Stegostoma tigrinum: one gene and its partner. The protein of the gene in region 2 purifies or fractionates together with the protein of the main gene of each other region. This does not show direct contact. Links are inferred from orthologs where the notes say so. Each region holds a gene or a part of one and is shown on either strand. Other genes may lie near its edges. The genes, in order: akt1s1 and mtor.

Evidence for each region.
Region 1: the proteins of mtor (region 2) and akt1s1 purify together in Homo sapiens (affinity purification with western blotting; 8 studies listed by BioGRID and IntAct, with this or other methods). This does not show direct contact. The link is inferred for Stegostoma tigrinum from reciprocal best matches to the Homo sapiens genes MTOR and AKT1S1.

Annotation. Positions count from the first base shown.
Region 1 is NC_081391.1:21,800,238-21,804,153, reverse strand, and holds the start of akt1s1 (proline-rich AKT1 substrate 1), read left to right. Parts: upstream 1-1,424; 5' UTR 1,425-1,451; coding exon 1,452-1,490; intron 1,491-3,136; exon of another isoform or gene 3,137-3,916. Other genes in the region: tbc1d17 (TBC1 domain family member 17), read right to left, coding at 133-171. UniProt on the Homo sapiens protein: Negative regulator of the mechanistic target of rapamycin complex 1 (mTORC1), an evolutionarily conserved central nutrient sensor that stimulates anabolic reactions and macromolecule biosynthesis to promote cellular biomass generation and growth.
Region 2 is NC_081381.1:39,048,909-39,052,824, forward strand, and holds the start of mtor (serine/threonine-protein kinase mTOR), read left to right. Parts: upstream 1-1,336; 5' UTR 1,337-1,436; intron 1,437-3,916. Other genes in the region: ubiad1 (ubiA prenyltransferase domain-containing protein 1), read right to left, coding at 521-1,028. UniProt on the Homo sapiens protein: Serine/threonine protein kinase which is a central regulator of cellular metabolism, growth and survival in response to hormones, growth factors, nutrients, energy and stress signals.

The DNA of each region.
Region 1 (3,916 bases), on a different chromosome or scaffold from region 2:
ATCCCACACCATATGAAAGTGCTGTTCTACTGTAGGATTTAAGGAACAAAATATCACCTTACAATCTTCTGTAAATAACCACATCCCATATTGCATGCACTGTACTATAAGGAGCTAGGAACTATTTATTACCTTGTGGCTCTCTGTTGCTGGCAACATCTTAAACCACATTCTAATGACTTTGTATTAAAGGGTGTAAGGATTCTCGACATACGGACACATCATCCCACATCACTGTACTACACAACAGGATATAAGAAATGAGTTATTACCTTGTGACTCTCTGTAGATGATCCCATCATTTTATTTCAGCTCGTCTCAAAACAAATCCCCTTGCATCACTTCCGGATGGTGCTTATTTCTTACTGGTTGTTAGTTGACTCTCCTACTATTAGGGAGGAGGAGGAGGGGTTTAGTCAGGATACCAATGGCATCATCCCAAGTTTTCATTGTCCAACTCTTTTTTTTAAACACTGCCCTATCTTTAGGAGTCGGGCTTGTGAATAAAGTTCCAAGTTCAGTGTCATATTTAGCAATTCCTATTATCTCTCATATTTTAGCTCGTTGGCTGACGTCAGTGTCTTATGACTTGGATGTTGCCCGGGGCTAATAAATTATTGTGACAAGTCTGGATTTAATCTCAAAAACAGGGTGCAGTGTGCCAGCAACGAGAGTAATCTTGTGCAAAGCTATCCTTCTACCTCGCTAAAAGCGCGGATCCTCTAATATTATCCATTGAATATTTTGGTTGATTTCTGCCTCTTTCTTTCAGATGTTACATGGTACAACAACGTAAAAATCGTAATTATAGAAAAGGCTCCCTCCCGGCCGCCATCTTTGTGAGGGGAACTGGTGTGTTGTCGGGGGAGGATGAGCTTGTGCTTAGATTCAAAGCCTTATGCTCTTCCCCTCTGGTTTTTTGGTGGAACACTCGACGCCCTTTGTATTTTTGTTCTCCCAGTCGCTGCAGGCCCCGAAGCTGCAGTTTAGTACTTGTTGCGCGTGGCTCTATGGCCGGCTGCCATCTTAATGCGGGGCTCACCCCCACCTCCGTACTCAGGAACAGTCACGCGGTCGCTCCTCGCTCCCTTCAAGTCACCTTTCGAGGTGAGGGATGGCGTTGAGTTTGACGCGATGGAGTGGAGTTGAGCGCACACTGACGGCGCAGAATGTTTAAAAATTCTCGAGGAAAGGAGTAAACAAACTCCCGCCATGTTTGTTCGGGGCGGTCGCCATGTTTGTGCGTGGCATGCGTGGGTATGTCCGTGGACACCGATTAATTTTTAATCGTTCCCTTTTTGAAATATAAATGCCCACGATCGTTGTCACTTGGCATCTGAAACAATATACTAGTGGGCAATGAGCTTAAGTAGAAAAGGTAGTTTTTTTCAAAAGCGTTTACATCGGACGTAGACGGTGACGTGCTGACATAAGAAGGCGACGCAGTGCGCATGCGGGCCTGGCTCTGGGAAGGTTGGAGGGAGACACCGGTAAGGAGCTTGGTGGGCTCTCAGCTGGTCTCCTGTGAATTAATCTTCCTTCTTCTGCCCTCCTTGCGTCCTCTACTTGTCCCTTCTCATCTCCTACCTGCTGTCCACGCTTACAACTCTCTGCACGCTGCCTCAGGACCCTTTATTCACTCTTCGTTTTTTTGGGGGGGGTGGGGGTGTCTATCAACGCTTCTCCCATTGCTGCTGTTTGCTTTGTTTCTGCACCTGAGGCTGTTTATAGTGTGTAATCTGCCTGACCATGCTCTGGTTTTGGGGGAGGTGTTGTTCGGATCTGTCTGACCGAGTTCTGGTTTTGCAGGAGGTGTCTGTATTTGTAGTGATCAGCTACTTCATGCTGTAGTTTTTGACGAGGTATTTGGAGTGATCTAGCTGACCGTGCTCTGGTTCTTGGGAGAGGTGATTGTAAGGCTCTATCTGACTGGTTTTGGGGGTTGGTGGGGATTGTTACCGTGTGTTGCAGGAGGTCGTTATCCTTAACCAGCCTTGAGTTAGTGTTCTGTATTGGCATTGTACTGTGTTCTTGCATTTGTGTGTATTCGGTTTGCTTTCAACATCACTCATTTGAAGATTTCTGCAGTATGAGCTGCTAACTTACCTCAATGTGAATATTTTTGTTTATCAAGCCTTTCCTCAGTGAAGTTGTGCTCTGTGGCCTGCTGCAGTTTTGGAAGGGATCTTTTGGATGCAATATTAAGTTAAGTCCTGTCCCTATCTGCTCTTTCAAGTAGCTGTAATGGCTCCTATGGCACTATGCTGAACATCATTAGGATCACTAATGACTGGCCCAGTGTTTAGCCCTCAACTGGGTTATCTGATCACTGCGTATATCAGAGCTTGCTGTTAAGTTAATTGTGGTTTTCCCTTGTGTTACAGCAATGGCCATGCTTCAATAGCATCTAGTTTTAAAGTTCTTTGGGAGACCTTGAAAGCTGATGCATGATTCCAAGTATTTCTCCTCCTTGTGTGAATTAGAAGCCACTACAACATTCTGACTTGAACATGAGACCTCTGCTGATACTTGAGTGCAGCCTTAAGGCAGTAGCTTATTATCAGAGGTGCAATCTTGTGTTTTGTGTAAGGTGTTAACCTGAAGTCATGTCTCCTTTCCTCTGGGAACGTAAAAGAGACTTGCCCTTCTGTGTGGTAGGCAAGGTCTTCTGGTATCTTGAATAATTTTCTGGAAGTTAAGCAAAAATGTGCATTTCTGTAGTGGCTTTCAGTGCATCCTCAACTGAACCACTTTTGATGTCTGTGTGATCATGTGCATACTAGTACAGCCAATTTGTGCGCAGCAAGTTCCCAGAAACAACAATGTACAAGTAGACAGATAATCTGTCTTAGGGATGGTAGTTGAGGGGTGACTAATGATCAAGACACCAGAGAGAACTTATTTTTACCCCTTTTGTTTTTGAGTGATGAAAGTTTTACATCAGAGGATAGCTGGTGGCCTTTGTTCAATATTTTCCTGAATAGCAACAATCGCCAACAGTGCAATTTTCTCAATTGCATAGTGTTTTAACTAAAGCTGTGTTCTCTAGTCTGTGATTTTGGGATTTGAACCCACAACCACGGCCACCCGTAGAGCCAAGGCTGGCATGAGCATTCGGAACTTTAAGTATTTGGAAGAATGTTGTCTTGGCATGGTTATGTAGATGAACTTTTATGTTACAGTTCTCACCTAATAATTACTTCTGAATTGTGGATTTGTACCAAATGTGTTGACGCCTTTGAGACTGAAGGGTATTATTGTTTTCTGAATAGCCGTTTTGACTTCCTGGCTTCTTTTGAACCTTGCCAAACAAACTGTGCAGCCATTTTATTTTGTAAATGGTGTTGTCGTGAGGGGTTTATAAGAGCTATAGCAAAAGGACAGTGCGATGTAAATATACTCCTAAAGAGGTGCTCTTGGTCTATGCCATTGTGAAGGCAACCTGTGGGTAGTAGAACACTTGGGATCTGCTAAAGATGGAGTTTTCCCAAACTATGCAATCTTTCTTTTTGTTCATGGAGTCTGAGCACATTGGCTAGGTCAGCATTTATTGACCATCCCTACTTGCCCATTAGGTGGTGGGGAGCTGCTGTTTTGCACTATTGCAGATCATGAGGTTTAGAGCATCCTTGGGGCCATTAAGGAATTCCAGGATTTTAATTTGGTGGCAGTGAAGTAACAGTGCTCTAGTTCCAAGGTTGGATGGGCTGTGGCTTAGAGGGGAACTTGCAGGTTTCTGTGTACTTGCAGCCCTTGTTTCTCTTAGTGGTAAAGGTCATGGGTTTGGAAGATACTGCCTAAGGAACCGGAGTGTTATTGCAGTACACTTTTTGTAGACGGTATGCACTGCTGTTGCTGTACATCAATGGTGGGGTGAGTGCATGTTGAAGGAAGTAGATGGGATGCCAGTCAAGTG
Region 2 (3,916 bases):
TTGGGGAGTTCAAAACTAGAGGGCGTAGATTTAAGGTGATAGGGGAAAGAGTTAAGAGTACCTAAGGCATAACTTTTTCACGCAGAGTGGTGCGGAGTTACCAGTGCAAGTAGAGAAAGCAGGTACAATTACAACATTTAAAAGGCATCTGGATGGGTGTGTGAGTAAGAGTTTAGAGGGATATGAGCTAAATGCTGGCAAATAGGACTAAATCAGATTGAGATGTTTGGTTGACGCAACACAAGTTGGACCGAAGGATCTGTTTTTGTTCTGCATGACTCTATAACAAAACAACACAACGACAAAATATTACAATTAACAACTGCTCATGCTGGAAATCTGAGACAAAAAGAGAAATTGCCAGAGCAATTCAACAAGTCTCGTAGTATTTGCGGAGCGAAAACAGAGTTATCTCTTCGAGCCTGGCGATTCTTCTTCAGAGCAAAATAAGTGAATCGTCTCCAGCTAAAGGTCTAAACTGAAATAAGGGAACATCCTGCTTCTTTTCCTTCTTACTTACCTCCCGTGTACAGAAAAGAGCTGGATAGGCCACCGAAAAAGATCAGAGCTAAGTGCTCAAGTTTGAGTTTGCACAAAAAGTAGAGGGAACAGGCGCAGAGGCAGCCCAGAGTGTAGAGGCAGGCTCCGAACCGCACCACGTCCTGTGGCTCTAGGATCCGGTCCACCAGGGTCCGGTCGTCGCTCTTCTTATGATCGATGCCCCTGCTGAAGTCGTAATAAGTGTTCACTAGGTTACCGGCTGCGTGTACGGCCAGCACGGCCAAGGCAGCCAGTAGGGAAATGGTCAGATCGAGCTCGCCCAGATTCTTGTAAGCCAGGGCCGTACCCAGGGCAACAGGGGTAAGCGAGGCGCTGAAGCTCCAGGGCCGCAGTGCAAGCACATACGCGGCGCACTTCTGCTTCAAGCTCCTGCCGAGACCCTGCACCACTTCCCTGTCCACAGCGGGGATCTGCATTCTCGACTCGGCGTCCACTTCCATCTGCTTAGCCTCCCCATTCTCTTTCATCCTCGGCCCGTCTCACCTACTCTCCAGTAATCACCGGCTGACAACCGCCATCTGCCAACAAGCCCACATCGCAGGAAAGTCACGACCTCAAACCGACATGCTACACATGCGCAAATGCTCAACCGTCTGGAGAGTGGGAGGAGACCGGTCCGCGCGACTGTAACGGAATTCCTCGCGCACACCCACATGCGCATTGATGACTGCGACTCGCTTTCACTAACGTCATGGTGAGCCGCCCTCCAGCACATGGTAGCGCACCTGATTGGTTCACACAGATGTCAATCACCTGCGCGCTGTGCCTGAAGATCATTTTATTTCCTTTCAATATGGCAGCTTATATGGAGTAGAATTGTCAATTTACTTTGAAGTGAAGAATTTATGCTTTATTTATTGTAATACAACAAGAGAGTAAGTATACTTGGATGGTTATCCGTTATGATTATTTAAGTGTAAAATTCCAAGCGGCTAGGTTATAAAAATATCTTTCGGTGCTATTTGTAAGTTTTCTGGTGTATGTTCCAGAATTGAAGTTTGATAGATTTTGGGTTTATTATCATTTATAATTCATTGTCAGACAGTATCTCTAACTGATGAGCAAAGAAACGCATTTCAGAAAAAAAACTCCAGCATTTAGACAGAACGTAACACCCCAACAAGCAGCCTGATTGCAAAAACAGAAAATGCTAGAAAAAGCTCAGCAGATCTGGCAGCATCGGTGGAGAGAAATCAGACCCAGTGTTTCGGATCGAGTGATCCTTCTTCGGAACTCGACCCGAAACGTTAACTCTGATTTCTCACCGCAGATGCTGCCAGACCTGCTGAGCTTTTTCAGCAATTTCTATTTTAGTTTCTGATTTACAGCATTCGCAGTTCTTTCGATTTTTAAATAGCTTGGTTACCTATGGTAGATCATCTGTTTCACAGAAATAGAAAACATTACCATAATTCAATAAAGACACGAGGACATTCTGAGTGTTCTATTTACACATTAGAGGCGAAAAATGTGAAAAGGTGTTTTTTTTTTAAACAGGGGTGTATACTATTACTTTTAATGAGTCCGATAGGCCTGTTATTTCAAAATCTTTTATATATTTGGAACATGTCTGTTGGTTGGTTTTAACATTTATTTTCTAAGTTGCAAACTTATCTCTAATAGCTTTTTTGTCCTTATTTAAAGACTGCTTAGCCAAATATAAGACTCTTTTGAGACAAGCTTTCTCTTTGTTAAACTACATTTGTGAGATGAACAAGGTAGAAGGAAAAAAAAATTGAGAGACAGTGGCATTCCTGGCAATATAAATACTTTGAATTGTTGTAACTCTACTTCATGATGCTCCTTTATAGATCCTTACAAGTCCTACTGCAGCAAATTAAAGGATGGTGTTCTTATGAAGTGCCTTGGGACAATTATATTAGACACTGCTTAAAAGTTATTGTTTCTTGACTTTCTGTTGGTCTGTTTGATCTGTGTCACCTTTTGAGGGCTTGATTGGTTAGCGGGTGACATGATCATTTGAGGGGAGGCAGCAACATTGTGTTCATGTCACTGGCCTGGTAATTAAAAAAATGTTGTAAAATCCAGCTGACTGAAACCCCTCACCCACAACGTTCACCTGCAAGAGTGGCTTGGCAGTAGTATGACTGAGTTGGATGGGTCCAAAAGGACGTAGCTGCTAGATTGGGTCTGCAGCAGGCGGTGACGGAACCAACAAGAGGGGGAAAAATGCCTTGACCTTGTGCTTACCAATCTGTCAGCTACAGATGTATTGGCCCGTGACAGTATTGGTAAGAGTGACCACCTCACAGTTCTTTGGGAGGCGAAGTCCTGCGATCATGTTGAGAATAACACATTGTGTGGCACCGCCATTGTGCTAAGTGGGACAGACTTCAAACAGATCTAGCAACTCAAGACTGGGCATTCATTAGGCACTGATAATGGGAACTGCAGATGCTGGAGAATCCAAGATAACAAAGTGTGGAGCTGGATGAACACAACAGGCCAAGCAGCATCTCAGGAGCACAAAAGCTGACGTTTCGGGCCTAGACCCTTCATCAGGGAGGGGGATGGGGAGAGGGAACTGGAAATAAATAGGGAGAGAGGGGAATGCGGACCGAAGATGGAGAGAACACAAGATAGGTAGAGAGGGGAGTATAGGTGAGGAGGTGGGGAGGGGATTGGTCAGTCCAGGAGGCGGGATGAAGTGGTAGGTAGGAAATGGAGGTGCAGCTTGAGGTGGGAGGAAGGGATGGGTGAGAGGAAGAACAGGTTAGGGAAACAGAGACAGGCTGGGCTGGTTTTGGATGCAGTGGGGGGAGGGGATGAGCTGGGCTGGTTTTGGGTGCGAACCCAGCGGAGGTGTTCTGCAAAGCGGTCCCCAAGCCTCCGCTTGGTTTCCCCAATGTAGAGGAAGCCACACCGGGTGCAATGGATACAATATACCACGTTGGCAGATGTGCAGGTGAACATCTGCTTGATATGGAAGGTCATCTTGGGGCCTGGGATAGGGGTGAGGGAGGAGGTGTGGGGGCAAGTGTAGCACTTCCTGCGGTTGCAGGGTAAGGTGCCAAGTGTGGTGGGGTTGGAGGGGAGTGTGGAGCGGACAAAGGAGTCGCGGAGAGAGTGGTCTCTCCGGAAGGCAGATAAGGGTGTGGATGGAAAAATAGCTTGGGTGGTGGGGTCGGATTGCAGATGGCGGAAGTGACGGAGGATGATACGTTGGTTGGTGGGGTGGTATGTGAGAATGAGGGGGATCCTCTGGGCACGGTTGTGGCAGGGGCGGGGTGTGAGGAATGTGTTGCAGGAAATGCGGGAGACGCGGTCAAGGGCGTTCTAAACCACTGAGGGGGGAAAGTTGCAGTCCTTGAAGAACATGACATCTGGGATGTGC